Linked DNA regions of Mus musculus: all the other regions are reported to be linked to region 1. The links are microRNA targets in miRTarBase. Many come from high-throughput screens and were not tested one by one. Region 1 holds a microRNA gene; each other region holds the end of a gene's coding sequence. Distances are between the middles of the regions.

Region 1 (7,731 bases):
GGGAGACTGGCCCTGAAAGACACCATCCTTATCAGCTGACAGATTATAGTCACCCAGTTACTCTTGACAAACCCCGCATCCATACATACATCTGTGCACACATAGACCACAATTGGACACAATGAGCTTGACACACCCATCCACCTACAGTGTTGACATCACACATAAACAAGCCCATAGGATTGGCATATATACACTAATACACTAGTGGTGCCACCAACTATGGTACACCCCCCCCAGAGTCCCCTCCCCTCCCCCTGAGCTCCCTTTAGCAGCAGAGTAGTCTAGAGCAGACCTCTACTCCAATCCATTAACAGGTGTATATAGCAGACAAATGAGTTTGTGCAGACAGCCCACCGTGATGCATACCCAGGACCGCTCTGCTCCTTGTTAAAGAAGTTCAGAGGAGTAGCTGGAGTTCCCATCACTTCCTTGATCATAGCCCCTGACCCAGGAGAAGCCAGACCCCTCTCACTCATCTGCAGGCCTGGCCTCACATCCAGACAGCCTGGAAATTTGGGGCTTTTGGCCTACTTATAGTACATAGGAGCTCCTGTCTGAGCTCCCCCCCCCCCACTCCCCAGCCCCCTGAAAGACCCGAGTATCTGAGAAGCTCCTGAGATTAGGAGGGAAGGGTGGGTATCTCAGAAGTCGTGTAAGTATGGCAATAATAATAATTAATAATAATAATAAGGTCTAGACAACCTGGGCCACCAATGTGACCCTATGGAGATTCCCACCTGTCCTGTCACTATCCCCCCAATAATGGACTGTTTTCCAGGCCCTACCTACTCTTCCCTTCTGCCCAGCTGATTTACACACAGGTATTGCACACTGAACACTGCAGACCACAGGGCACAATATAGCAGACAGCTAACCCATCTTTTACTTGATGGTAGAGCTACCCCCATCTGGCTGGGATTGGCATTTCACCTCAACCTGACCTCTAGGACTTGCCAGCTGCTCAGAGAGACTGGGGCAGGCTCCACCTAGGTCATTCCCAAGCTGACTTCTGCGCTGCAGTGCCCCTGCTTCTGGACCTGGGGTTGGGGGATGGAAGGAGACAGTTTCCCACCCTTACACTAAGGGACTTCAAAGTCAGACCTCCCGCCCAAGCACTCTAGGCCGACCAACACATGGCGGGAAGTAAATGATCAGCCCCTAGCTGCAGGAATTCAGGTCAAGACTCTGATCCTCACACACCAGGGGGCTTGGCTGCCAAAAACCTCAAGGAGCAGCCCCGGGAAGAAGAAGGACAGACACATAGGGAGGGTGCAGGCAGACCCAGACAGTCGACCCCCGCTGACAAAGGGCAGGCAAGCGCAGACAGACACTGAGGGCGGGAAGCCCGCACCACGCCTGCAGACAAAGAGACAGGAGGGGGTGGGGCCTGGCGCCTCCGCCATGCCACGCCCCCCGCCAAACTCCCACAGGCAGGCTGTCCTGCCGTGAATACCCCTAACATACACCTCCCATTATGTAAAGGACAAAAATCAGAGTTCTGCAGGGGAAGTAAGCAAAGTGGACTTACAGAATAAAAGAGGGGTGTCTGCAAGATGGCCCGCATTGCCCAGAGTGTCCCGTGTGCCTCATAATCCTCCATTTTAGCTTTCAGGAACCCCCTAAAACTGTTCTGAACTGGCAGCAGGCCCTTCCCCAGGGGCACAGTGGTGGTCTGTGCAAAGCGCCTGTGACCAGCTCATCTTCATCTGACCAGTCTAGACCTTTATTTCCTCAGGGCTGAGAGCTACCAAAGCAGGAGACCTGCCTTTCCCATGCAGGACCTCTTAATCCATGGCCAGAAAGAGAGGGCCCCTGGGGCTGGGAATGTGACCAGTTACCGGGCCCTGGGCTGAGGAAGCAGGGTTAGGGCTCTACCGGGAGATAGTGCTTCCTAAGTCTTGCTGGAGCCAGGGGCCAGGTTTGGGTCTGTAGGTAGGGGTGGCCCTTAAAAGGAGCTGAACTTCTAGGGAACTTCTAGGGGTGCCCTGGAACCACACTGAGGTGCTAGGCAGGGGGTAGGACCTAAGCTCTCAGGTGATTGAGTTTGGCGTTAGATCTAAAAGGGATGGTTTGTAGGAGGGCCATAGGGAACCCTGTCAAAGGCCTGAATTGGAGGGCAAGTCTGCAGTGGTGGCCTGGTACTGCACAGGCCGGTGCTAACCCTGCAGGAGTTTCACACAAGCATACTACTACATTTAGTGTTCTTGATCTGTCTTGTGTGACTTCAGGAGATCCTTGAGGGTCACCTCTCCCTCTCTGAGGTGTTCTGAGCTCAGTTAAAGCAAAAGGGAAGCCTCCCCCCCCCCCCCCGCACTCCCCCTCCCGACCATTTAGAAGCCTTTGGGTGGGGGTGGGGTGTGTCTGTGTATAGCCTTCTTTCACAGCTCACTGCTCTACTGGGTAGGGCAGTGGTGGTCTCAGAAACCGTCAAACTAAGTTTAGTGACCATGGGAAGGTGGAAAAGTTTACAATATATTGAAAGCCTTATTTATCTCAAGTTTGCTGGAGAAGCCCTGTTACATTGTATAAAAGTAACTTGTTTACGGCTCAGTTGCCCTATGCCTAGCCCAGGCCCAGACCAGAACCTGATGACCTACCCGAGTTCCCAGAATGGTGGCTAGAAAATCCCCACTTTGTATTTTGGCCTCAGTCTTTCCAACTGACCAGTGAGGGGAATTTGTATCTCTCAGAAATGCTTTGGAGGATTTTATTTATCACAGTACTTAGCCCTCATCAGGAATTCACTCTTTAGGTCAGGTTAGCCTGTAACCTTACTAAGGCCATCCCAACCCTCAGACTCCAGAGTGCTGAGATATCAGTTGTGAATGCATCCCTTGAATATATATAGCACATGAATTGAGACAGGCACATTATCATCTCTGTTGCAGGGGCTGCGTTTTTTACATTATGGTTTGTATTTGTGCTGCTTCTTCTGAGTCTCCAAAAAAGAATAACTGATGGCTGATTTTGTGAGTCAAAGGGGACCCTGGTTTCTCTCTCGTCCCACATGCTCTCTGCCTTGCTGGCCTACTCTCCCAACTCCAGTTATCCAAGAACTTGCCAAGGGTTTGGGGGAACATTCAACCTGTCGGTGAGTTTGGGCAGCTCAGACAAACCATCGACCGTTGAGTGGACCCCGAGGCCTGGAACTGCCACCCGTCTACCCCATCCCCACCCTGTAGACCCGGGAGAGCCCCAGGCAGCATCCCCTGCCTCAGGCCACAGCAAAGGTCACAATTAACATTCATTGTTGTCGGTGGGTTGTGAGGAGGCAGCCAGACCCACCGGGGGATGAATGTCACTGTGGCTGGGCCAAACAACACCATCAGGGATGGGAAAGAGGATAGAACCCTTCAGATTTTGCTTGTCACTTACTCCCCTTGGGGAAATGGGACTGGTGTCTGGGATCTTGATGGGCTGATTGGAATTGGGAAATAAACCCTGGAGGGTTAGGTGTTGGGGAGATCCTAAATTGGGAGACTCTGGGGGGATGATGTTTGCTCAGTGATGCTCTGCAGTGGGCAAACTGGTAGATGAACATGTGACAGATACATGGGCAGGTGGATGGATGAGCGGGAATGAAGTCTGTCCTAGCAGTGGTGACTCCTGTTTCTTTTTGAGCTCAGGCTGCAGGCTCCTTTGACAGGTGTCAGATAAGGGGGCTGGCACCTGCTGGGGTATGCCAGTGCAGTTTGTCTTCCTGTGCTTGAAGGCTCTTTCCCCTCCTGCTGCATTCCTAGGTTGGGGTAACCTTGAGGCTGCTTAGCTAACTGGAGGGGGAAGAGTTGGGAACTCAACTTGGTAAGGTCTTAAACCCAGGACAAATGGCTGAGGTGCCTATTCCTTTATCAAAGTTGAAGCCGCAGGCTGCCATGTTCTCGCAGCATCCCTCAGTTCCTTTAACAGGGTCCTCCTTGTTGACATATCTTGTCCTTTACCCTGAACTTCTCTAGCCAAGGAACTAGGCTGGGCTTTCCCTTCCTGCAGCTTCTCTGGTTCATATATAGGCCAACCTTTTTGGTTAGATGCTCCTTTTTTCTTTTGTCTTCTTTTTCTTTTCTTTTTTTGGTTTTTTAAGGCAGGGTTTTTCTGTGTAGCCCTGGCTGTCCTGGAACTCACTTTGTAGACCAGGCTGGCCTCGAACTCAGAAATCCGCCTGCCTCAGCCTCCCGAGTGCTGGGATTAAAGGGGTACGCCACCACGCCCGGCTTGTCTTCTTTTTCTTGTTCCCCTTTCCTTCATGCCTGGCTTAGTCTGCTGGTCATGTCCACTCTGGAGACTCCTAGGTGTCCTTGCCCCTGCCCCTGCCTGTAATTGTCCCTTTTATCTACAAAAACAAACCACTTCTCTACCCACTAGGAGCATTCTTTGTTTGGTTTAGACTGCAGGACTGAGGTGCGTATTTTACACATCAAAGCAGACCTGGCCTCCAGGTTCTCCCAGCATTCCTCAGTCCCTACCTGGCATACTCTGCCCCCAACCTTGAACTTTCTAGCCCAGGAGCTGGACTGCCCTCCCCCGCCCCCCCAGAGGCTCTTCCCTATATAATTCAGACATTTTGTTTTCTTCTTCTCTTCTGTTTTCTTCTCTCTTCTTCTCTATCGTACTTACACTCTTTTTCTCTTTTCTTCTTTCTTTACTTTAATTCACACCTCAAGACTAAGTTCTCCAGGACATGAAAGTCTGTTAGTGAAACCAGAGCTTTGAGACCCAGTTGTCATTTTCCTACCCCCAGCCCCACTTCCACACTCAGGCCTCCTTCCTAGGAATTGGGATTTCTGCATTACCCCACCTAACAAGAAACTCTTGTTTCTTGTTTCTTGCACGCCTTTAATCCCAGTACTTGGGAGGCAGAGGCAGGCGAATTTCTGAGTTCAAGGCCAGCCTGGTCTACAGAGTGAGTTCCAGGACAGCCAGGGCTACACAGAGAAACCCTGTCTCAAAAAAACAAAACAAAAAAACCCCAAAAATACAGGAAGAAAGAGAGAAAGAAAGAAAGAAAGAAAGAAAGAAAGAAAGAAAGAAAGAAAGAAAGAAAGAAAGAAAGAAAGAAAGAAAGAAAGAAAGAGAGAAAGAAACTCAAGGCCACATGATACCCCCCACCTCCCACCCCCTGCCTTAGGGGAGAGAGAAGAAAAAAATTAGTAAATCTGTTAGTGTTAAACCCTGGGGCAGAATTCTTAGCCATCCAACTCCCTCCTCACAGGGGTTAACCTCCCACAGGAAGGGGGAGGAGACCCGGGGGAAGCCTAGGGCGGTCAGTAGCTTCAGTCTGCATCTGGCTACTTTCAGCCCACACAAACACCATATACCCCCTGCGCAGGTGTATAGGAAGCCCCCCAGTGACAATGAGGGACCCCCCCAGCCTGCCTGCTCCACCCTTTTACACCCCCTCTAAGTAAAAGGAAAGTAGCCAAAGAAGCCTGAGCTTCAGGGTAGTAAGGAAGTTGGAGCCAGGTTGGGTTTCTTCTCTGCTCCTCTGCCCAGCCATGGGGACTTTCAATCTTTGGACAGATTACCTAGGTCTGGCAAGACTGGTTGGGGCTCTGCATAAGGAAGAGGAGCTTGATGTAAGGCTGGATCCCAAACCAGAGCCCAAGCCAAGTTCAGAAAGCCAGCAAGCCAGCAAGGAATCCTCTGCAGCTCCTGAACGCTTATGTTCATTCTGCAAACACAATGGCGAGTCCCGTGCCATCTATCAGTCCCATGTCCTGAAGGATGAGGCAGGGCGGGTGCTGTGTCCCATTTTGCGGGATTATGTGTGTCCCCAGTGTGGGGCCACTCAGGAGCATGCCCACACTCGACGCTTTTGCCCACTCACCAGCCAGGGCTACACTTCTGTCTACTGCTACACCACCCGGAATTCTGCAGGCAAAAAGCTGACCCGGCCTGACAAGGCAAAGACACAGGATGCTGGCCACCGCCTTGGAGGAGAAGCAGCAGCAGGTGTCTATGCAGGTGGTTTAGGGGTTGGGTGGAGAAGGCTTTCAGTTTTTTGGGGTGTTTAAATGTATTTGATGCCAGTATCTTAGAAACTAAGGAATCCACAGTGTATAGCTGAGAGCATGAAGCAGGGTATATTTAGTTCCTTTATTGCACAGGGTAGTAGAGATATTGTGGGGTATGTGGTGATCTCTGATTCTACCTGGGGGGTCAGGAGTTGTGAAACTTACAAAGGGAAGCTTATAATCCTTTCTGAACCTGGAAATCATTTATTCATTTGCCAAGTGACATTTCATGTCTGTTTGCCACTGGGTGCGGGGTCTGCAGTGAAGAAGGTAGGCAGGAGTGGCTGTTAAGACAGTGCTAAGTAGGGGACACTTGGTTCAGATGAGGGGTCCCAGAGACGGGGACTTCTAGCAGTCATAATTCCTTCAGTTTGGGGGGTGAGGGGTGAGAAGTGTGACTGGGTATGGGTCTGTGCTGTAGGGTGGTTAGAAATCATTGGATCTAACTTTTGGAAGTTTGTAGTTAGTGTATAGCGTTTACGAGACCAAGAATTTGCTTCTCTGTCAGTACCATAAAAAATAAGTTTGGGTTGCTAGCAGGCTGACTCAGTGAGTAAACAGTCTGCCTCTAACCCTGAAGACCCAACTTTGACTTCAGGTTGTCCTCTGACCTCCACACACACAAATGGGGGTGGAGGAGTGCAGGGGGCATGGGACATAGGACACAGAGATAGGGCAAGGATTCATCAGAATTCTAGCAGAAGCATCAGACCAGGACAAGGGATTCCAGAGCCTCAGGAAGGTAACTGCCATGGGCCTCAAGGCCCAGCTCCCAGCCAGCAGGGAAGAAGCCAGTTGGGGAGGCAGAATGGGGAGACTGCAGTAGGACCTTATCAAAAATTTTGCTTGGTGGGTCTGAATTAGTTTTTTGTTTTTGTCTTTTTGTTCTATGGTCTGGCTTGGCTACAAGCTCCTTCATATCCACTATGCCACATCACCAGTCCTTAAGAGATGTAGATAACTTTATTTCATGTGTGTAGATGTTTTGCCTGTGTGCATTTATGTATGTATATGTGAACAGTCTAGAAGATGGTATGTGAACTCCGGAACAAGTTACTGCTGGCTCTGAGTGGCCATATGGGTGCTGGGAACCCAGCGAGGGTCCTCTGTGGCAGTGCTAGTGTTATTTTTACCTGTCAATTCTGTTTTGTTTTCATCTTTTACTATATTTTGAGACAACACTTCATTTTGTAGCTCAGGTCTATATCACCCAGCAAAATACAGGATGGCAGGTGCTTGCATGCCTAAAGGCTCTGCGGGCCTCAGTTCTGTGACGCCATAGGAGGACCCCCAAAGTTTGTGGGTGCACCACTGAAGGTGACTCAGAGAGTCAGCTGGCTCCCTGGCCATGGTTGGTTGTTGGCTGTGTGCTGCCTCCCTGAGAAGTCTGGGAGCTCCTAGAGGGTGGCTATAGGCTGGGGAGTCTCCCTTAACTTTCCAGTGGAACTCTTAGTTAGAGGCTGATTACCTGCAGGTGAGGACCCCATTCTGCCAAGTGGTTGGGTTTTTGTCGTTGTTGTTCAGCCAGTGGACTCAAATCCGCTTCTGTCTCTTTATTGCTGGGACAGACCTGAGCCACAGTGCCTACCTTTTAGAGTTTTATGTTGTTGGTCTGATGCTGGGGATGGAACCCAGGGCTGTTTGTATGCTGCACCATAGCCCTGTCCCTCCTCGTGAGGTCTAAGGGACTCAGCCCCCAAGCTGGCAATGAGGAGTCATA
Region 2 (7,731 bases), not on the chromosome of region 1:
TCTAGGCCCCACTAGACGCAGATGTCAAAAAGTAGAAATGTAAGTAAGCTCTAAGCATCAGTCATAGCATCAGATGGGTTAGAGGCAGGTAAGTGAAAATCAGTACAGAGCCAGTACTCTGAGGCAGGCTGATCTCTGTGAGTTTAAGGCCAGCGTGGTCTACACAGCAATCCAAGGTCAGCAAGGAATACATAGTGAAACTCTGTGTGTGTGTGTGTGTGTGTGTGTGTGTGTGTAGTGTACTATGTATACTCTTAGACTGATATCTTTACATATCTCATAAGAAGCAGGAAAAGGATTGTTGAACTCAAATGATCTTACACAAAATTCTTAAACCCAACCCAAGTATCAGGCTCTTCTGAGCACTGCCGACTCTCCCACCTCATCACGTGTGTTTAGGTCATCTCCAGCTTAGTTCACTCATATTATTGAGGCTCCCCTGTTTCAGGCACCAAGAGAACAAAAACAATATATTCTAGCCCTCAATTACTGTTCCCTCTCTAGTCCCAAATCCATCATTCATAGGAGCTTCACACAGAAACAGCACACCAACCTCGTGTGTTAGTTAGCAAAGGCAAGTCCACCACTAAGTAACTGGAATCCAGCTTTCTGATTATTTATGTAATATGTCTGTGCCAAGTACTGGTTTACTTTGGTTTGAGATCAAGAAGGATATAACTAAGAAACATAGTCTGTGTTCAATATTCCATGAGAACTGAGAAGCAGACCTAATAAGCAACCAGGGTTCTCCCATACAAATGACATGTGAGATACCATCCAACCATGAGAAACTGAAGGGCTTTAGCCTAACTCCATAAGCTAGCAAAGGAGAGCACACAGATAGTAAAGAAAGCAATCATAGTCACCATGTTTAAATCCTATTTGCAGCTCTATAAACCAGCTTTAGGAAATGAATTCCATCTACATGTGGCACTTGTCTCCCTGAAGTCACTGGAAGAACTCTAATAGTGTGATTGTACCTAGAGTACAAGCCTGACCAACAAGCGGCATTGTGTGCACCAATCCTGCCTGCAACACCGGGCAAAGCAGACTAAGAAATTTATTTCCATGAAAATAAAATTTCTCAGTTTTCCTAAAGCAAATGGCAGGGATCTGGTAAAAGCCTCAAGTAGCTAAAAACTTGGCCTCTTTTCACAGAATTCTGGACTGAGGGAAGTTTTTAAGAACACTTTTTAATCTTCTCAGAATACTTCCAACATTTATCAGTTTTGATGCCAAGGGAAAAAGGCAGGGATGGCCAGCATGCTCTAGAATCCACCTGTCACCACCCCTTAGTAATGGGGTGACAGCAGCAGGCAACCAACCATGCCATGCGTTTACGCAGGTGCTGCAGACACAAACTCAGGCCCTCCTGCTTACACAATTTTCTCAGCTCCACTTCACCAATATTAAACAGCATTTTATTTTTACATTGATTTCATTTGTGTGTGTGGGGGGGGTGGGGGGAGCACAAATGTGCCACAGCAGGCACACAAAGGTCAGAAGACAACGTGAGGGAGTTGGTTCTCATCTTCCACTGTGTGGCTCTCAGCAATCAAACTTAGCTCATTAGACCTGGCAGCAGGTACCTTTACCTGCTGGGCCGTCTCTTGGGCCCTAAAGAAGGTTAAAGGTAGTAGTTTGAAAAAAAGTAGAAAATGACAATTAGTTTAAATAAGCTGAGACAAATTAATTGCCTAAAGACTGATGCAATTCAATAAGGTTTTAATTCTGCACTCATTTTAGTTTTCATTGTTTCAAAGACACAATTTTTCCATATTTATAATTGTTTGTCTAACTTCAGAATATTTTTATCTGATGGCCAATAGTACTAAAACACTTAGAAATTTAATAAACTTGAAATAAGTCAAATTATAAATGGTTTTAATTCATAACCATTTCTACACTGATTCATCATTACTTGGAACTGTATCTAATGTCATCTACAATTTTTATACCACATAGAAACATTTTTTCTGCTAACTTCCTAGAGAAGTTCCATTGCCCACAACCACTCAAAACAGCTGTTCTCCTCAGTCTACCCTTAAGTGACACATACAAAAAGCTAACATGGTATATGGTAGGTAATTAAGGTAGGTACTGTCAGTTAGAAATTAACCTGTTAACGAAATCATGAACGTATTAATATTGAAACAGTGAAAATTCATGGTACAATATAAATAGTCCTTCATTAAATCTGACTTGGCTCAGATGCCAAGTATCCCTGACCTAAAACTGACAATCATTTAACATTCTGGAACTCAGCATATATTATCTTAATGACAATCATTACATAATTAAAAGCAATCTCTCCTCCCCCCACCCATCTACCTCTCTCTCCCTACACACACACACACACACACACACACACACACACACGTAACACATTCAGTTACAGACTTGATTCTACTGTGAAGATGTATATGTACAATGAGTACATGGTGAAAAACTCATAGTTTATAATAAATAATAACATTTCCAACCTTGGGTTCCAAGCGGTGCTACTCCAATTCAGCAGCTATATATTTATTGATTACATAAGCTATTTATTACATAAACGAGGTATTTCAGGAGGAAGAGCTTGAGAAATGTAGGCAACTAGGAGAAACTTTGCATATATGCAGCACTGAAAACAATAACCTATGTATACTGAAAGGACGTAAGCAGTGGAGGGGAGGGAGCAGCGACAGTAGTTGTAATGCAAAAAAGTTGCTGTGAGAGCCAACTGGAAAGACAACTGCTCCGGACTTTATCAGTCAATACAGTAATTCAGATGTCCTCTCTCAAACACAGAAAGACTGAAGACAGCCACAAAGGTCTGAGGACCCACTGCACAGAATGGATAGGAAAGCAGCATGATCGCAGACAGAGTTTAAAAGGTAGCTTTCATCCCGTGAGGTGACAGAGGCAGGAATTAGAAGGTAATACAATGATGATTAACAGTAAGGCCTTGGGAGTGGAAGAAACAGTTCAGCTCAGAGCAGGGCTTAGCATGTATGAGGCTGTGGCTTCAATGCCAACGGCATCACAAGTGATCTGCTTACAGTCAGATCTCAGACGTTTCCACACACCAATAGAGACCTCTAGGAAGGCTGCTTAGTCTTTCTACATCCTGTTTCTTTCCCATACTCAAGATACAAAATCTCCACAGGACTGTTCCCCCCAAAAACAAAATTGTGTGTAAGCACACATACATACAGCAGGTAGCATTTGTTTGGTGGAACAATGCAGATTTATCATTAATATAATTCAAAAGAAATAGAAAAATAATATAAGTGTAAAATGTTTAGAGGAGAGCAAGGCACAGCAACTCATAGAATGATTCCAGCACCTAGGAATCTGAGGCCTCAAGTCACAAAGCCAAGCCAGGCTGGGCTATATTGCAATATTCTACTGGGGATGTGGGGGAAGAAACTGGGAATGAATACTTTAAAGTCAGAGGGAAAGAGGGAATATATTTTAAATTCTGGTTTTAATACTGATGGTATTTGGTGAAATGACACACAAGTTTGAATAAGTAGGGGTTTTTGTTTTTTGTTTTGTTTTGTTTTTTAAAGAAATACTGACTTCACTATGCCATGGCAGTAGGTGCGTAAATACATAGCTACGAAGGCAAAGAAACAGACCACACTAAGCTCTGACATTCATAGACAGACAGTAACTATTAAGTCCCTGGGCTTGAGAATGAATGCACAGAATAAGAACTGACAATAGCTGGAAGCCAGAGAGCATCAACATTTAAAGATGGCAGAGGAAGTCTTCAAAGGATGCTGAAAACAAGAAGCCAGGGAAGGTAACAGCAGTGCACATGCAGAACCTAAAGGATAAAGGTGTCTCAGAAAAAGAACACTCAGCCAAGTCAATCTGCCAAGCAAGCGCATGAGTTAAGCACTGAGCAGTCCCTGGATCTGGTACGTTATCCACATGAAAAATGAGCAGGCACTCCACATACAGACAGAAGAAAAGCAAATTGTGAAGACAGTTGAGGGAAAACAAGATACCCTGCAGTAAGAATTCAGAGCAAAGACAAAGTGACCTGATACAGGACTAAAAGGGTTAGCTTCAGACAGAGAGAAGAGGAGGCTCTCTCTGTCAGAGAAAAATGAAGCTGACATTGAGGCAGAAAAGGCAAAGCATAGCCACAGAACTGAGCGAGAGTCCTATAGCTACAGTAGAAAGGTGTGGGTAGGAAAGACAGAGAGAGAAGCTAAGCCCTGTCTTCAGGCCACACTGAGGACACAGTGAGAGGGACATTAAACAATGACATGCTGAGCATTTGTGAACAGGGAAGTTCTCCCTCATTTACACTAATCTTAATAATCAGAAATGTGGAGTCTCATTCACTTCAGACATTGTCTACTATATCAGAATAATATTTTGTTTTAAAATACACCAACAATTACCCACCTGTTGTGTTAATTTTACTAAGCTCCTTTTAAGATTTGGATTTTTATTTTTAACTATGTGTATCTGTGGGGAAGAGAGTACACATTAGGCTAGTGTCCTAGGAGGCCAGGGAGAAGCCATCAATTCTGCTGGATCTAGAGCTACAGGAGGGAGCAAGCCACCCAAGCTGGGAGCTGAAAAGCACACTCTGGCATTCTGTAAGAGCAGTTCCCATTCTTAACACTGAGACACCTCTCTAGCTCCCCCTTTATATTCCTTTTGGGGGATGTTTTTATAATATCTTCTTGGTTTCTTCATTAAATCCCATTTCTCTGAGGTACTCATTTTTGAGCAGTGCATATCAGATGTTTTAACAAGACTTAATATGGTGCTACTAACACACACACAAACACACACACACACACCCCTTGTAAAATTTACAAACAAAAAAAGGTTATATGAAGCTGGAAAAATGGCGTAGTGACTAAGCCAAGTTTGATCCCTAGCACCCACGTGGCAGCTCACAGCCATCTGTAACTATCATTTCAAATGACCCAGGTATCTGACCTCTACAGATACCTGTCAAGACATGTTGGACACAGACATTTATGCAAGTCAAACATTTATACTCATAAAATAAAAATAAACACATCTTTTTATAAAAAGATTATATTCTAGTTTCAGTTCTCCATTTCTTTAATCTATCATTGACACGTGCATATGACATTAATGCAGAAAATTTCTGTTCAGAACAAATAAATTGAATGCTCATAGTTTTCTTTAATTTCATTATCTACCAAAGAAAGGATCTACGGTCCTTCCATATTTCACAAGGGTTTCAATAATACCAATAAATTCTACCATGTAACCTAATACCTATTAATTAATTATCTAGCAAGAAAGCTAGGCACATCATATAACTTATTTTTAACTTCCCAGTACCTATGGAAAACATATTATTCTTTTCATTTTACAGCTTAAATAAATGCAGAGAGGTTAGGTGAAATGCCCACGATTGCAAAGCTGACATTCAAGTCCAGTTCCACATGCTTCAATTACAGGCACTACACTAAAATGCCTCAGAATATTAACAAACTGGGTTCTTTTATATATGTCAGATGAGGTATTACTCATAAATATAAACTTTTAAATGATAATAAGTATATTTAAACATTTGATAGCTAAAGGATTAGCCAGAAACACTATCGTAACATGTCTCCCCTATGATGTAAATTCACTTCAGTTGTTTCAACATAAGACACATAAAAGGAAACTAGAACAAATAATCATATTGTGTTTAAGAATAACTAGTCTACATCAAAAATCTTCCCACCTGATACTTGGTATACATACTCAGTCTAGTGAGTTTCATTAAATTTAACTGTCTTATCTTTAAAAATGCATTTATTTGTCTCTCAAAGTTAAAAACTACCTATGCCATAATATGTTTCAAAATCAGAAAAAATTTAACTTCTGATTAGAAACACTAAACCTCTTATGTCACTGATTTTGAAAGTCTAAATGAAAAGAAAAACATCATAATTTGCTATATAGTTTTCATACAGTGAGTTTTCCCTACCAAGGTATTTTTCAGATAGCCAAGTCATCCATCAACATACTATGTGAGGAAGTCTAGATATTTAACAAAGAAAAACGCTGCCAGGTCATCTTTATTTTCCTTAACAAAACACACACACACACACAAAAACCATTTATATATCATCATTATATTACAAATATAAATAATACCAAGAATTCAAGTACAGTCAAGTGCAGATGTATTTCCTATTACTATGTAAACATTAACTATATACATTATGTGCCTTTGGCCCAGTTGTAAAATAAAAGACATCAAGAGAAATACTGCACTTGACTGTTTAGTTGCATTCTTACTGAGAATTCGTACCAATGCGTATGTAATTAAGGTTACAGCTTTCAGCATTACTTGGTGTAAACACCTAAACAGATATTTCCTTCCCACTGGCAAATATCTCCAAAGTTAAAATTTAATGATGAAGTATTCAAAATCTTAATTATGTTTCAACCCTTAAATACTATGGAAGAAATTATTCCTAGCCAAATTTGTTCCTATGTCAAAGTGGGTATTATTTACAAGTTATACATGTAAAAAACATTTTTTTAACTTTAGAATGCACAGCTATGCCTCTGCATATTAACTGATACCACGTGCTTTTACTGTCAATACCTAGTGGTAGTACTTGGATACACTGAACTTGCTGGGCAATCTGAATATGAATAATATTAAGCGTATATCTAGAAGGCAAATTTTTCTTGAGTACCACAAAAAAAAAAAAAAAAGCAGTAACTAACATCAACAAGACTACAAATATCCAGTTGAAGGCACATGGAAGTATTTACTACTTTGTCACCAAAGATTCTTCACTTGGTTCAAGATTAGGAACAGAATCAGCTCTGAGAACAGGTGACTTGGCTTCGTTTGTTGAGGTTTCCTCGTTCTCAGTCTCTTCTTGGTTCTCTGCTGGCTCCTCTGGACCAGATGTTTTTTCAATCACTTGGCTTGTCTGCTCTGTAACTGGTATTTTGTCATCTCTCTGCTCAGTACTATTATCAAGAACATCTTGTTCTTCTAAAGAGTCTGAAAAGAGAAAAAGACATAAGATTTCAGGGATATCTAAATGTCAAAACTGCTAAATAAGACAAGCCAAAGATAAACATACAAACATACTAAGAAACGACAGAATGGTCTAACATTACCTTTTAATTTTCACTCTATTGCATAGCACTTAGAGAATTAGTATAACTAAATAACTGAAGGAAATAAACCCATACTTTAATAATTTCATACACAATGAGTTTGGCCTGTGTGCCCAGGGCACTTCTTGATTGATGTGGACAGTGCCACCTTTGCTCAAGTGAACTTGGGTTGTATAAAAAAAGCAAGTTGAGCAAGTCATGGGAAGCAAGGCAGTAAGCAGCACTCCTCGGTGGCCTCTGCCTCAGCTCCTGCCTCCAACCTCTTGCCTTGAGCTCCTGCCCCACGCCCCTCAATGATGGACTGACCGACCCTTTCTTCCAGGGCTTGGGTGTCTATCACAGCAATAGAGGAACCTAACTAGAACAACAAGGAAGAGTCTAAAAACAAAGCAAACATACAGTCACCCAGGCTACTGAGCAGAAAATCATTTTTCTTACACCTAAGCAAAACTGTAAGCAATGTATAAATGTATGCTTTTGTGTATATGCATATAGTACTAATAGATAAGTATGCACGTATGTAGTGTGTATGTGTAATCTTATATACATCTCTATTATTCAGGGAAGAAAGAAGTCAAAATCCACATTTTCTATTTGTATGTCTTAAGG
Region 3 (7,731 bases), 26 Mb from region 1:
GTGGCACCTTTATGTTCCCACAACCAGAGACTTGAATTGAGTGAGTGATGTTTTGCTTATATATCATGGGTAGGTGTCTGGAATGTATGCACTGGGCAAAACTTAGAGAAACCTGTTTTTTGACCCATCTGCTGGCTGTCTAACTTCTTACTTGCTGACATCTTTGACCTAACACTGCTGTTTGTTCTCAAGAGTCCCCTTTGTTCCTCTGTAGACATTCCAGCTGCAGCTTCTGTCTCCTAGCAGCAGCGTTGTCCCAGCCTTTAATACAGGGACCATCACACAAGTCATTAAAGTTCTGAATCCACAGAAGGTGAGTAGTACATTTGAAACAGGTCTGTAAACGATATAAGCTTATTACTTTATAAAATAAATCTTCATTTCAGTTTTATATGTTTCTGACTCAGAACTAGGAAAATGCCTGGTCTAACTTCCTTGTTCTTTTATAAAGATAAACCAAGCTCAGGGACATCAAAAAGATTAGTGACATTAAAATGCAACTAAAAATTCTCTATTGTGAGGGTTAAAGGTATAGTTTTGAGGATTTAGCAAAAGTTTAAATCAGAGGTAAAATCAAAAATCCGTATTTACTGCTGTAATTAGTATGATTATCAAAACTGGGAGCATTTTAAGTGAAGTAGTTAAATGAAAACAGTAGAAACCCATTTAGCAAGAGTTTCACATTATCTTCTCAATAAAATCAATTGGTCCTGCTTCATAACTAGCTGTGTGGTTTTCAGTGTTTGCTTTTCAGACTCTCTGGCTGTTTCCTTTTATATTACTTTGCCTTTTCTCAGTTCTTTTGTATCTTGATCATGTCATTAGTACAAACAAGCACACATTATTTTCATCATCTGATATCTGCATCAAAACTTTTTACAATGTTTTTATATTTGACATTTGTCACAGAAAGTATAATACTCTTAAAAAACCATTCTTGTTACCTGTGTACCCAGGTATTTCTTTTATGCTTTAGAAATACAAACATTGATGATATTTACTGTGGGTTTCGTAAACCAACCAGCAGGTGACCCATATGTAGAACTTGTGACAGTGTGTTTCCTCATTTTTCTAGAGACTTGGACAAAGTGTTAAATCGTTTGTTTCCCCACCCCACAACCCCACCATCGGAGACCTACTTGGTATTCTAGATGTGTGTGTTCTCTCCTATTGATGGCTTGATGCTGATCCTTAGGCTCCTAAGTGACAGATGCTTTAGCACTGGCTGTTTGTCTCTGTGCCGCTTGACACAGCCAGTCAAGCTGTTCCTTGGATGCACTCTATTTACCTTTAGGATTAAATACATTGTGGAGCCAGGCATGGCAGCACGTGCCCGGTAGTCCTCAGTACCTGGGAGCTTGAATCAGCATCACTTGAACTGAAGGGTTCGGGGCTAGCCTGGTCAACGTAGTGGAACCCTGTTTCCAAGAAGTAGTCCATTTGTAGACTGGAGAGACAGGGAGATTTCATTTCAGTGAATTAATTTATGGTTCTCTTTCCCTTTTATAGCAACAGCTGCGAATGCGGATCAAGCTCACATATAATCACAAGGGCTCGGCAATGCAAGATCTAGCAGAAGTGAACAATTTCCCCCCTCAGTCCTGGCAATGAGGATGCAGCACCATTCTCATTCTTATCCCACTCAATCAAAGGAATTCTGGGAAGGAGGTTGTGATTGCTGGCAAGTCCCCCCAACTGTACCATGGGCACGAGGAGCTGAGAGAACTGTTGAGGAGGGTTTTCCTCAAGTTACTGCTGACCTTGAAGCATCAGTAAAGACTAATGTCCTCTCCTCCGCTGTTGAGGCTGGCTGCTTCTCGAGGCTACTTTGCACTCTTCCTCCTCTCCTCCCTTTTCTGCACTTCACCCCTCCCACATTTGCAGCCAGAATCAACATTCTCTGGGCCACTGAGGCAATCAGCAGCTGGCCTGGAGGAGAGGACTGGGATTCACGGCAAGAAAACAAACACTCTGTCTCTACAGTCAAGAGTGGCCCCTACTTTCTACTGTTGCATCTCTGTGGACTGGGCAAGGTGGGGTGTTTATTCCTCACTAGCTGGTTTCCATCGTAAGTCTGGAATGGAATTGTAACAGTGGACACGAGGGAGCTCTGCCCTTTTCTGCTGGTTCTCCTGATGTTTGAAAGAGGTGTTAGGCTCCTGGAGCCTTATCTGTGCATTGCTGTATACACACAGACACACATGTATGTATGTTTGTTATATAAAAAAGCTGGTTAGACCTTGAGAGGTTGTTTGTAAACACTGGACAGATGCAGTTCAGAGAGCTTGGGTTGAGATTTGGCATGAAGGATATGGTGCTCTATTTGTAATAGAAACTTTCAAGGCTCTTCCAGCTCCCTTTCTCTTCGTTCTTTAGCTGTAGTCACGAGTTCTCGCTCCATGATTTTCAAGATCAATTCCCATTAAATTGCAAAGTGGATACTTTCTAAAAGACACATGAATAGTTATTAATGATCCTATTCCCCCACAATGATTCTCCCAAGCCTGTCACTTGCCTGTTTGAGCTGTGGTAAATGGGTCAAAAGAGGAGTTCAGTCTTAAGGAGCAGACTCTGTCACAAAACACCGTGGCCCATAGGAAGAGCAGACCCAGACTCACTCTGGAGTCAGCTTATCCGTTGCTCCAATCCTCCCTTTTAGTTTCCTGAGCCTGGCTTGGACCTTGGCATTCCGTTTGAATTCCTTCTTCTAACTGGAACATTTGTGTTGTATCTGTAACACTGGCACTGAAATAAAGACCACACGGTTAAAGAAATCGTTCCCACATTGTACTTTATGGTGTTGAAATGAAGCTTTGTAGCTTCCTTGCCCCCTATGTGAGAGCAAGTCTTACGGTCACCATAGGGTAGGAATGTCCTTTCCTGAGTATGAGAAATTGGTCTCTTAAGAAACCAATCTCATGAACATTCGAATTAAAGGTTTGAGCTTTTTAAACAGTAAGAGTGCCGAGTGTTTTTTAGAAAAGACCCCAATATTACCAAATCTTTATGTTGAATTGTTGGAATGAGGTGAAGGTGATTGTCTGTGGTACACGTTGAATGTACTATGTATGTTCAGGTATTCAGGCATCATGTCCAGTTTACTGCAGGAGAAAGTAAAAGTGGGCCCCCTTGCTTGTAAAGCGTTTGCAGTTGTTACTGTATTATGCAGTAAGACGACACTTTGGCTTCAGTTTTAACTCTTGATACAAATCTCCCTTTCTCCCTGCTCCATTTCACCACGCCTTTACTTAAATTCTTCAGTGTCTTGTCAAACCTAGCTCTGTATCAGATGCTAGACTATTCCTAACATTGACAAACTGGAGTTGAACTAAAGGCTCCAAAAGGGAAAGTTTCTGGTCTTAATAGTCCTGTAAGAGCAAGATTTACTGAAATTTACTTGACTGGGTAAATGGACATCTGAGTTACAAACAGGATATTTCTCCTGTGTTCAGCAAAACAGGTGTGGACAAGTGCAGACTTTAGACAGCCGCTCTGCCTGATCAGTGGGAGCCGTTAGGATTTCCTGCAGACGGATTTCATTGGATGCATAGTTAATGCTGTGAAACGTGATAGGATTAATGCTGTATTGGTGGATTTCTTGAATAGAATTTTGTCTTAACATTCCTTTTTTGTGTGGAGGCTTTATTTTCTCCATTTGTAGCTAACCAGCTCAGGTTTTTTGGTTGCTTTTTGTTGTTGTTGTTGTTGAACTGAGTTGAATCTGAAGAAATCTGCTCAAGACCAAGTGCTAGCCGATGGAGCTGGAAAGATCTCCTCTGTGGACAAAGCCTCAGCCCGGGTGATGAGTTTGGAGGTAGCATTTACAATCATCCATGGCTTTATCGAGAAGGAAAAAAAAAATCATGGCCTTAACACAAAGGGTGCTGTGTAGATATGGAGTTCATTTGGGAGACGACCTGAACACCATACTGACGGACTAGCAGCCAGATGCCTGCCTAGGATGCTGACGGTTGTGAAGACTGTCCCCTGTGATTGGATCTTTGAAAGCTTCAGCGTGCCTTCTTAGTTTCTAGGAGCATTAGTTCTCTTCTCACTCGGCCTTGCAGCTTAAAGGAGGAATCTCTTCGTTTCTGTGACTACGCGCGCACATTTCAGTCATTCCTTTCCCACACGTGACCCTTCAAGAGGAAACAGATTTGGATGTATATGACAACCTCGGAGCCTTTGTGAAGAGAGTGATTTCTGTGACTTTTGAATAAAGCCAAGGTGATAAGCAGTGAGCCCCACTTATTGACAGTTTTATACGCACTTGTACCTCATTAGCATCGCCTTCCTCGAGGAGTAGTTTTTATGTCATCCTTCTTTCCCATCCCAGAGTCACCCTAAGGGAGAGTTCCTCTAAGTAATCTCAGACAACTGTACACGCTTCTCCCACAATGCTTTGGTGCTGTTACCTTGAGATGGTTTAGGGAGTCATGGAGGTTTTCTGCTGTGTATGTTATCATCTGTTAAACTTCGAGGTGTTTTGGTTTTTTTTTTGGTTGTTGTTTTTTGGTTTTTTCATTTAAAGCAACATTCCTCAGTGTAACAGTACAGGTATTCCTTGCTTGGTTCCTGGTGTGGCTCTTAACCTTTGTTTGTTTCCCTCACATATGAAAACAGACTTTTAAAACTGTCCAGCACTAATAGTTTGAAATTTTCCATCTCCCATATGACACCTTGCTTTTCATTTCTGCGCCCTTTTAGAGAATGTTGGAAGTTAGGGAATACCGCTTTTGTGGTTCAACTTTATTTTCTTCTACATTGGAATATATTTCGGCCGTGAAAACTTGGGGAAGGAGGAGTTTGAATGTGTATTTTTCTTTTCCTACTGAATGTATTTTAACTACAGAGCCCTAAACTGAGAGAGAACAACAACAACAACAAAAAATGCATATTCACAAACTTTGTGGTTGGGAGGGCATTTGTCAGTCTGGGTGTGGGGGAAGGGAGAACTGCACAGGAAGTTCTGAAGTTTAAAATACTTCTGACCAGCTTTGGCTCGGGAGGGTGGGGCTGTTTGTGGAACTGAAAGTGAAAACCCTTTTCAAGCAATAGCAGAGAGTGGGTCCCATGGACAAGGTTCCAGTCCCAGAACCTGGAACTCTTAAACAGAAGAAAAAGCTGAAGCGGCTTGAAGCAGCTTGAGCAGTTGCTTCTTGCTCCTGGCTTCAAGACAGAGCATTGGAGACTTTCTCCCCTTAAAGACCTGCATTTGCGCTTTGTGTGTTTTGTTTTTATTTTATTTGGGGGACCTCATGGGAAAGGGCTTCTGCACTCCTTCCTTTGTGAACCCCACTGTGTTCTTGTATCATCGTCCTTCTCCTTTTACTATGTTGTAAGTTACGGTTTTCATTAGGCCCCATCACATCTTCTTTACTGTAAAATTATTAAAAGGCTGTTTCCAAGTGGGGCAGCTAATGAAGTTCTAATTATTGCAGACATATTTTTGAGATGTAAAACACTTTAAAGTGAAATGATAAGTCTCTTGGAGGCGAGTGAGGAATAACATGGATGTAAACATTTACATGGGATGCATTCGGATTCTGCTGTGTGTATTGTCTTTTGGTTGAAACAAATTATGAACAGTGACTAATAATAAAAAGTCAATACTCAATGATTTAAACTTTGCTGCCTTGCTTCTTGGATGTGAATCAGAAGCCCAAGATGAATTCTTATTCCAAAGCTTTGAGCTACACCGAGCCTTTTAATGTTCCTTTGAGCAGAAATCTCACCTAGAGAAGAAACATTTAAAAACCTTGTAGATGTTTTACACAGAGAAAAGTCCAAAGAGCAAGTGGACATTTAACTGGAATGCAGTTACTGTCAGGTTTGTTTTCTCCACATAGGCGAATCCTCAAAGCTCTGAAGCCACTATGATGAACTATGTAGCAAGGGTACCCATGTTTTATTATAAGTTAGGGTTCGTGTTTTGTTTGATTGATTGCTTGGTTGATTTTGGTGAGTTGTTTTGGTGACTTGATAGAGAAAGGCCTAACTAGCCCAAATGAATGACATTCCATGGCTTATTTTGCATAACACGTGAATTCCTTTTTTACTTGGGAGGCAGGTGAAAGGGCAGCCTCTGTTGCTGTAAAGGTGTTGTTCCTCAGGAGCCATTCTGCTTGTTATTTGAAATAGTCACTAGGACCTGGGGTTCACCCATTAGACAAAGCTGGGTGGCTATTGTCTCCACATCCCCAGGGCTGTGATTACATTAGACCTGCTTTGGGGAGTTCAGGTCCTCATGCTGGCATGGCAAATTATCTTCACAAACTTGATAACAGTTTTTTGCTGAAGGTTGAAAGCTCTTGGTTTTCTCTTGACTCTCACAATCCCTAACATTCCCTTAATTGAGAATGAAGAAGATATGACAGTTTCCAGGTTGAAGAGGGGGAGGGTGTGGGCCTGGGTAGGTTATCTCCTTTATGCAGCAGTGCCCTTTGGCACTGTTTGATAACATTTCTATAAACTTGTTTTCTACTTGGAGTAGTTAAAATACATCGTTTCTGTATTTAAGTTTAACTGATGGAAATCTAAATATAATTAGGTGAAACTATAAAAGCCACAGTAAACAGACAGTAGATGTTTACTTAACAGTACGATGGGTTGTGCATAGGTTTAAATGTCATTCCAGAACTACAAGATTAATTTTAATCACATGAATGGCTTATTATTCTGTGATCTCCTCCAGTTCAGCTGTCTTTATATGTGGGGGGAAGAACTGTTCAGTGGTTGGAGGTGCAGCTTAGTTCTTGCCTAGCTTATATGAAGCCCCAGGCACACGTTAAAAGGAGAAACAGAAAAAAAATTCCTTCAAATTTTGAAATCAGGTAAACATTGGAACCAGAGGACACAACGCCTAGACCTGCTTATCCTGTGGTAGCATAACATTGGGGTTGGGCCTAACGAAGACTTTGTGATCACTGAAAGATTGGGAGCTAGGTATCAGTAAATAGATCTGAACTTCCAGGCTCCTCTACATAGTCTGACCTTAGCGCTCTTTCTCGACGGTGTTCTGGAGAGGTAGTGGGCGTGTGGAGCCCAATAGGAAGGAGAGGAGGGATGCTAATGCCTCTTTGCCTTAGTATGATGGGTAGTGAGGAGCCTGCAGTGATGGCAGATGGTTTTGTGTATACACACACACACCCCACACACATACATAAATCCCAGAGGAATTTATTTTTAGGGTTAGTCTCAGCTGTTCACCATTTCCAGAAATGATGGTTACATAACACTTGGCATACATGTTGCCTTGACCTGGGGGAGAGCACCAATTGTGACCTTTGTGACAGTGTGCTATGTTAATGGCAGTCCATAATCTGAAAAGGAGACATCAGCTGATTATTGCTGATTAACTGGATCTGAAGTAGTGGGGACCTTTAAAGGTAGCTGCTTAGAAAAAACTGATTCTCTGAGACCTTCCGAGCCAGTGCTCTTGGGCTATTTTTTTTTTTTTTTTTAATAAGTGGTGTTGCCAGTTTGAAGTAGTAAATCTTAGCTTCTAGCATATGGATTCATTTTAAATTGATGGTGTAGGCTACTATCCAGATAAGGAAAAAGATAACCATCTATAAAACATTGCTGTTCCCTAGAATGAACTCATTGCTGGACTTGGGACACCAAAGTGATTAAGTCACATGCGATCTGTAAAAGGTAATCTGTAGTACCTCAAGAAAGTGGCTTTTGGAAACCATCTCCAACTATTTCCCTGCCCTTGGCTATCTACTT
Region 4 (7,731 bases), not on the chromosome of region 1:
AATACAGAGCTTTTTTTTTTTAATGGTCCTGTTTAAAAGTGTGTGTGATGTCTTTTTAATTTTACCTATCGCACACAATGTCATCTTTCCATATTCAAAGTCTTAGCAATATTTAAGAGCAATTTATGTTATTAAATAGCTACTTTGGAAAATAGCAATTATATGTTAAAAATAATGGCCATATATAGAAAACAGTCATATATAATGGAAGCTAAGTGGGTAAGAGGAATTGTAAAGTCACTGTTACAATGAACTTAGTCCGGCTTAGACTTAGCCTTGGCGTTACTGTTCAGTTTAACTTTAACGCTCAATGCCTTTTCATCAGAGATAGAACCTTATAGGTTTTAACACACACAAAGATGATATCCCTATTAAACCAGAAATGATTGATATGAAGCTGACTGGTGAAATATAAAGTACACACTAATATTATTTTTCTTCAGTCAAAATTTTAAAAATATTCAGTACAGTTTGACCTAAAAGTTAGAGATCAAAGCATTATGATGCTCTTGTTCCTGTCTGTTTATATAATTCTTCAATTTGTTCTTGATTCAGTATCCTGATGCCACAGATGAGGACCTCACCTCTCACATGAAGAGCGGTGAGTCTAAGGAGTCCCTCGATGTCATCCCTGTTGCCCAGCTTCTGAGCATGCCCTCTGATCAGGACAACAACGGAAAGGGCAGCCATGAGTCAAGTCAGCTGGATGAACCAAGTCTGGAAACACACAGACTTGAGCATTCCAAAGAGAGCCAGGAGAGTGCCGATCAGTCGGATGTGATCGATAGTCAAGCAAGTTCCAAAGCCAGCCTGGAACATCAGAGCCACAAGTTTCACAGCCACAAGGACAAGCTAGTCCTAGACCCTAAGAGTAAGGAAGATGATAGGTATCTGAAATTCCGAATTTCTCATGAATTAGAGAGTTCATCTTCTGAGGTCAACTAAAGAAGAGGCAAAAACACAGTTCCTTACTTTGCATTTAGTAAAAACAAGAAAAAGTGTTAGTGAGGGTTAAGCAGGAATACTAACTGCTCATTTCTCAGTTCAGTGGATATATGTATGTAGAGAAAGAGAGGTAATATTTTGGGCTCTTAGCTTAGTCTGTTGTTTCATGCAAACACCGTTGTAACCAAAAGCTTCTGCACTTTGCTTCTGTTCTTCCTGTACAAGAAATGCAAACGGCCACTGCATTTTAATGATTGTTATTCTTTTATGAATAAAATGTATGTAGAAACAAGCAAATTTACTGAAACAAGCAGAATTAAAAGAGAAACTGTAACAGTCTATATCACTATACCCTTTTAGTTTTATAATTAGCATATATTTTGTTGTGATTATTTTTTTTGTTGGTGTGAATAAATCTTGTAACGAATGTAAGGAGTCTGGTGGTGTCAATTATTCTTTATTAGTTTCTCAAAATTATTTTGTAATGTCTAAAATATAACCATTTCAATGGACATGCCCAGTTTAATTAAAGCCATTTAGGGTTTTAATGGTCAGAGGAACACAGATTACCCGGGAGTTGACAGCAGCCAGAACCTACAAGGCTCCCTCAGGAAATATTCTCACCTAAGTATGACATATACTAATTAATATATGAGCGAGCAAAAGCTTGAAACTTGAATGGAATTAGAAGTTGATTGTTTATGTTTTCTATCATCTTTGCTCAGTAAATGTGTGGCTTTCTTGCCCTAATAGAACCTTGTGTCTGTCTTCTAGCTATTCTAGTAATTCTTAGGTAAGAATGTGTGCGTGCTTCTGTGTGTGTGTGTGTGTGTGTGTGTGTGTGTGTGTGTGTGTGTGTGGTGTGTGTGTTTCAATTGAAAACCAACGTTCTCAGTTTCATCCAAATATGAACTTTCAGAAATATTGTAGTGCCACATGTGACTTTAGTCTTTAGAACTAGATTTCCCTTTTAGAAATCATGGAAACAATCTAAATATCCTTCAACTGACAAATGAATAATGAAAATATGGCACAAATATACAGTATATAGGATGCTGTTCAGCTTTAAAGGAAAAGTTAAATCATGAGATTTGCAAGTAGGTGAATGAGACTAGAAAAGAAAGTATTGAGGGGTGATCCAGACCAAGAGAAATGAATGTTATGGGTGCCTATCTGTGGCTCCTAGCTTCAAGGCTTCAGATGTAAATGCATAGTCTGGAGTCACTGCAGAAACCAGGAAAGTAAAGAGGGAAATGGAATGTTGGGGAGTAATAGGGACATGGATGCCAGGCTACAGTGATTAGGGAGGGGCTGAGATAAATCCAGAAGGAAGTAGGTATAATACCAGTGAGGATGTCTGCAAAGGTTATAAAGAATCCTATTACTATCTACCTTCATAAAATTATATGTAATGCACACACACACACAGACATACACACAAACACACACATACAAATATACACACATGACACATACAGACACACATATGCACACAAACATACACATGTACACATACAGACACACACCTGGAGGGAGGGAGAGAGAGAGAGAGAGAGAGAGAGAGAGAGAGAGAGAGAGAAAGAGAGAGAGAGAGGAGAGAGAGTTAGATTAAGTGAAAATTTCCCATCTGGGCTGACGATGCTCTCCGTGAGAGCTACAGACTATCAAATCCTCAAGCCTAAGCGCAAGAAACTTCCTTTGAGTTATTGGTCTGGATGGTCCAAGGGACACCCCCCACACACCCAACAAAACAAACAAACAAACAAAAACATTATAGGTTATTGCTGTGGCCCTTGGTTTCCTTCCAACGGTTGAAGATAAAAAAGTCCCTATTTTGGAGGACACCATGCACTTCAGACATAGGACCCAGACAGTTGGGCTGGATCTAACCTGAAAACCTCCTCCCTAAGGACTGGCTCTTAAGCCAGAAGGTACCATGCAAGCTTCCAAGGGACAGAAGCAATGTCATGCAAAGCCATGATGGCCTGTTGCCACGGACCAGGTTCAGTCGGCCCCCCTCAATCCATGGGAATCAGGGGCTCTGGCAGGTGGACGTGGAGTTGGCAAGAACTGACAGACACAGACACGAGAGAGTGTGCTGGATATGAATGTATTTTGTCCAAACGAACACCAGACTTTTAATACAGAAGAAAAACAAGAAATTTAGGCAAACACATCCGCCAAGTTTACACTGACACAAAACAAAAAGAATGCATACATCAAAAGATGGTGGGAGCCAGGCCACATTTACCACTTAAAAAGATCAGCTGAACACTGGAGCCAGGTGAATGGCCTGATGCAACCCTAGTCTATTGTTAAACCCACCACCAGGAGTTCTTTAGTAAATACCTGATTATGCTAGTCCTCTGGGCCCAGTGAAGAAACCTGCACCAGGGAAATTCCCTTCTACTCTTTCAAGCGACAACCCACCTATTTCCTAGGCCATTGTGTATATCTGTGTTTGGGTGTGACTCAGCTATTGTCCTAAGTAATTGCTATGCAGACTAGCCCTGAGCTTTCCTAGCTCTGTTCCAGTAAATAGTAATGCCTAATTAGTTTCACTGTCTCTACTAGAAGTGAATTTGAATGTTACTGAATAGATAACTTTCTTACTGAATTCCAAGCTCAGAGTTGGCTTCAAGGATTTTCTAGGACATTGGAACACTGATAGAGGCTTAGCTATGTCAAAAATCAATCCTTAAAGGTACTTATAATAATAATACTGAAAGAGAGCACACGGATCCAAACACCAGACTAACGCAGGGACAGGTTTTGAGTATATGGGCTATGAGAATGCCAAGGTTCCAGGAGGCTGTTTCCATGAAACCCATTGCCTCATGACTACTTTCAGGCTTTAGGCCTACCAAGTAGACTGCACTGGAGTAGTCGTAGCAGCCTGTGAACTAAAATAACAACCAGTGTGGCACAATATCACTAAGGGTGAACTAGTAGTGAGCATATGTTGACAGTAACAAATAGCTCTCTACTTAGACCGAAGGCCTACTCACACAGAAGTAAATCCTGCTCAATACTAGAAACTTAACCAGTTAAACAGGACTAGTGAAGTCATGGATCTTGAGGGGTAACCTACACCTGCTACTTTACTAAACCAACACAATCCCTAAGAACATTCTAACTATGTGTTCTTAAACCCACAGATAATTACAAATCTAACTTCCCATCAAAGAAACATCTTCCTGGGTACAGATGAAGACCACTATAAAAAAACCACAACTTACAAAAATGCAAAACAATGCCTGTGACTGTGTGGTACCCAGTCTCAGCTGATACATCTATAATGCAATTCTTGTACCTAAGGCTCAGGGATCATGGAGGAATGACCCGTCCAGCAGGTCCAGTTATTCGAGGATCTCGAGGGGACCTCCTCCTAATAACCAAATGGGGGGTAGAGAGAGACGAGGGTCTTGTACGAATAACGACACGGAAACCGTTCTGAAGCTGTATCAAGACCCCGATGTATTGAGAAAGGTCCAAGGCTTAAATGCACAAGCAAAAGGGGAAGTACAGATAAATTATCAGTGGGATGGGTAGGGCAATACAAGCAAAAGGAGAGGTATTTATCAGTGGGAGGGGTAGGGCAATACAAGCAAAAGGAGAAGTACTTATGGGAAGGGGGGGCAATAGAAATTCTTTCTTTTGACAGCTACACAGGGAAGCAGGAATTTGGTAGTGTCAGGGTGTGGTCAGGAGAGCAGTGATGACCCAGGGCTGGAACATCCCATAGTTCTCGGAATCCATGAGTCGGTGGCCCGCTTTTGACCCCTTTTTTCTTCTGGGGGGGGGAGGCCCAATTTAGAGATCGAGAGTTGTCTTAATAGCTCCCAACAGAGGAAGAGAGGAGAGAAAGATTGCAATAACTGGAGCACCAGGAAATCTGCTGTAAGAAGGTGTCGTCAGGGAAGCTGTACCCATGAACTCTCATCAGCATGGTTGCCTAAACAAGCCCTGAACACTGGCAACACCCTCAGACAGACACGATAACACGGGAGGGGGAATCTCATGGCCCCTAAATGCTAACCAAAGAACTACATGTAACTAAGGAACACAGAAAGCAGGAGAGATCATCGTCCCCAGAGAAGAGCCCTTGAGTCATTCAATATTAGGTGGTTAGCCTTGAAACCATACATACAATTAACATTATAGCAACTGAGGAGGCTGTATTTATATATTTAGGAATACACACACAGAGAGAGAGAGAGAGAGAGAGAGAGAGAGAGAGAGAGAGAGATAACACTCATTTATAACAACAAGCCATGAGTTGGAGAAGAAGGGAGGGAGGAAGAGAGAGCGAGAGAGCAAGAGAGAGAGAGGGGCAGGGACAAAGAAAGAGACAGAGAGGTAGCATAGGAAAGGTTTAGGGGAAGGAAGGAAGGAAAGAAAGAAAGAGAGAGAGAGAGAGAGAGAGAGAGAGAGAGAGAGAAAGAAAGAAAGAAAGAAAGAAAGAAAGAAAGAAAGAAAGAAAGAAAGAAAGGAGGGAAAAATGATAAAATGATATGATTGAACAGAGAGGTGGCATTTCTTTGTATGGGACTTATAAATCCCAAAATATGTTGATTTCCTCCGAGTAATATAAAATAGAATATTATTTCAATAAAAAACAAAACTAGGGACCTGGGTTCGGTTCCCAGAACCGAGACCACTGAGGCGACTCACAATGTTTCATGACTCAACCTCTCTTGGCTTCTGAAAGCACTGCGCATGCATGGTACACATAAACACATGCAAGCACACATACATAGACACACACACAAAAAATAAATCCTATAAATAAATAAAACTAAATGTTTCCCCTAGGACTATGAAGGCTAATTTTTGTTGATGTGGAAAATAACACATAAAAATATAATGAAAAATTCTAGAAGGAAGCAACAGAAGTAAGGAAGAATTTGCCTTCCTTATCTCCTCCTCTAATGCACACAGACACACACACACATACATACACACTCTCTAAAAGCATTGTAGTACTGGTACCTAAACATCCATGAAACAAAATATTAAGGTCAGACATAGCCCAGACTCATGTGGAGATTACTGTACGGTAGAGATGGTGTGGAATGCCACTTAGGGTATAAGACTACAACCCCTTATCACTGTGACATCCATGGTTAACTGAAGCGACTCATAACTTCTTGGTGTATTCACTTCTCTTGCCATCACAGCCAACCCCTAACAATCACAAGTTAATTGTGTCATCCCCACGTACCATAGAATGCAAGCAGCCTGTTTCCTGTCAGCACATGCTGAAATTCAAGGGCATCATCAACTTAACCCCACAATCAGAACTTTGAATTCTGGTACAATTAAAGACCATTCTGTTTCTCCATTATACAGGGCTTATGCAGGGGGTAGAAATCACACAACCCATTTGTACAGGGAGACTGTTATACCAAAAATTAATTACCAGAAAGAAGGTGTTAATAAAAGACAGAACTTAGTCTTAATGATAGCCATAGGAATGGGAATACCCATATAAGGAACAATTTGCAAAGAAGGTTCTCTTCCCTAAAAGTCTTCATTAGAAAGGTTGTAGCTGCAGCCCAGCAGATGAGCAGAAAAGTTTACTCAGGGTTTTTTCTGGACTGGTTGGCAGCTGGTGGGCTGAAGCTAACAGTCTGCTGGCAGAAGGGCTTCAGCACACTGAGGCTGGCAGGGTGTCTGGGGGTGGGTGCTCCAGTGCGCACTGCTGGATGCCGTATCTAAGAGGCAACCAGTCTTGCTTTAAGAACAAGGACACCAGGGACAGACAGAGCTAGTTAGTTCTGCAGTGTCCCTCCAGTGCCCTCTACTGACAAAGTGTCATTGTGCCAGTTGGCAGAGCAAGTGTGTTGCAGGATCCAGCTCCAGGATCACCGACCAAAGGGTGATGGATTTAGAAAAGGAATGCTAAGCTGATAGCTGGACAAAATCACTGGGAAAAGGCTAATTTGTGTGTGTGTGTGTGTGTGTGTGTGTGTGTGTGTGTGTGCGCACGAGAGAGAGAGCACATTTTATTTTATTTTTAGAAGGTTTTTTTTGATATTTTCTTTATTTACATTTCAAGTGTTTTCCCCTTTCTAGGTCTCCCCTTCAGAAGCCCCCTATCCCACCCTCACCCCCCACCTCTATGAGGATGCTCCCCCACCCACCCACCCACTCTTGTCTCTTTGCCCTACTGTTCCTCTACATGGGGCATCAAACACTCTCAGGCCCAAGGGCCTCTCCTTCCACTGACATCCAACAAGGCCATCCTCTGCCACATATGTGGTCAGTGGCATGGGACCCTCCACGTGTACTTTTTGGTTGGTGGTCCAGTCCCCAGGAGTTCTGGGTGGGGGGTCTGGCCTGTTGATACTGTTGCTCCCTCCATGGGACTGCAAACCCCCTCATCTCCTTCAGTCCCTTCTCCAATTCCTCCACTGGGGAACCCACCCCCACCCCCAACCCCACCCCCCACTCAATTGTCGTACCTTTGAAAAACAGGGGCTTTCCATGGGCATGTTTTGTTGTGTGAAGCCCAGAGGGAAAGGGCTTCTTTCAAATATATTCATTTTCATACAGTTTTTATGGTTTTTTGTTTTTGTTTTGTTCTGTTCTGTTTTGCTTTTTCTGTTCTGTTTTTGTTTGTTTGTTTGTCTGTCTGTCTACCCTTTTGCCACAATACTAAAACACACTGAGAATAAAAGAAGATAAACACTTCCTAACAGGTAAACTCAACTAACAAAATGTGAAGAAAGAATGACACAGTTAGAAAGCCATTTCAGAGCTGGAGAGGTGGCTCAGTGGTTA

What was found. Region 1 holds the annotated microRNA mmu-miR-181d-5p (AACAUUCAUUGUUGUCGGUGGGU, at 3,243-3,265, shown strand). A microRNA usually pairs through its seed, bases 2 to 8, with sites in the 3' UTR of a target mRNA and lowers its output. Matches are read on the target gene's strand: a 7mer-m8 pairs with bases 2 to 8, a 7mer-A1 pairs with bases 2 to 7 and ends in A, and an 8mer does both.
Region 2: the mRNA of Lnpk is a reported target of mmu-miR-181d-5p. Seed matches in the 3' UTR shown: 7mer-m8 at 5,413-5,419, 7mer-m8 at 3,641-3,647 and 7mer-m8 at 2,385-2,391.
Region 3: the mRNA of Ap1g1 is a reported target of mmu-miR-181d-5p. Seed matches in the 3' UTR shown: 8mer at 3,055-3,062, 7mer-m8 at 4,808-4,814 and 8mer at 4,833-4,840.
Region 4: the mRNA of Spp1 is a reported target of mmu-miR-181d-5p. Seed matches in the 3' UTR shown: 7mer-A1 at 1,370-1,376.

The regions. Positions count from the first base shown.
Region 1 is chr8:84,174,293-84,182,023 of GRCm38, reverse strand. Mir181d (microRNA 181d) reads left to right here and starts at 3,237; the gene lies at 3,237-3,308. It overlaps Nanos3 (nanos C2HC-type zinc finger 3), which reads left to right and starts at 5,472. Exons shown (of 2, transcript NM_001357361.1): 1 at 5,472-5,949. The coding sequence starts at 5,493. Mir181c (microRNA 181c) reads left to right here and starts at 3,063; the gene lies at 3,063-3,151.
Region 2 is chr2:74,515,295-74,523,025 of GRCm38, forward strand. Lnpk (lunapark, ER junction formation factor) reads right to left here. Exons shown (of 13, transcript NM_027133.3): 13 at 1-7,003. The coding sequence ends at 6,765. Among named protein-coding and RNA genes, the nearest start is that of Lnpk, 60 kb to the right of the region's middle.
Region 3 is chr8:109,858,585-109,866,315 of GRCm38, forward strand. It overlaps Ap1g1 (adaptor protein complex AP-1, gamma 1 subunit), which reads left to right. Exons shown (of 24, transcript NM_009677.6): 23 at 215-313; 24 at 1,510-5,626. The coding sequence ends at 1,611. It overlaps Gm17344 (a long non-coding RNA gene), which reads right to left. Exons shown (of 4, transcript XR_003947453.1): 2 at 1,289-1,447. Among named protein-coding and RNA genes, the nearest start is that of Gm17344, 6.1 kb to the right of the region's middle.
Region 4 is chr5:104,439,674-104,447,404 of GRCm38, forward strand. It overlaps Spp1 (secreted phosphoprotein 1), which reads left to right. Exons shown (of 7, transcript NM_009263.3): 7 at 556-1,380. The coding sequence ends at 945. Among named protein-coding and RNA genes, the nearest start is that of Spp1, 8.4 kb to the left of the region's middle.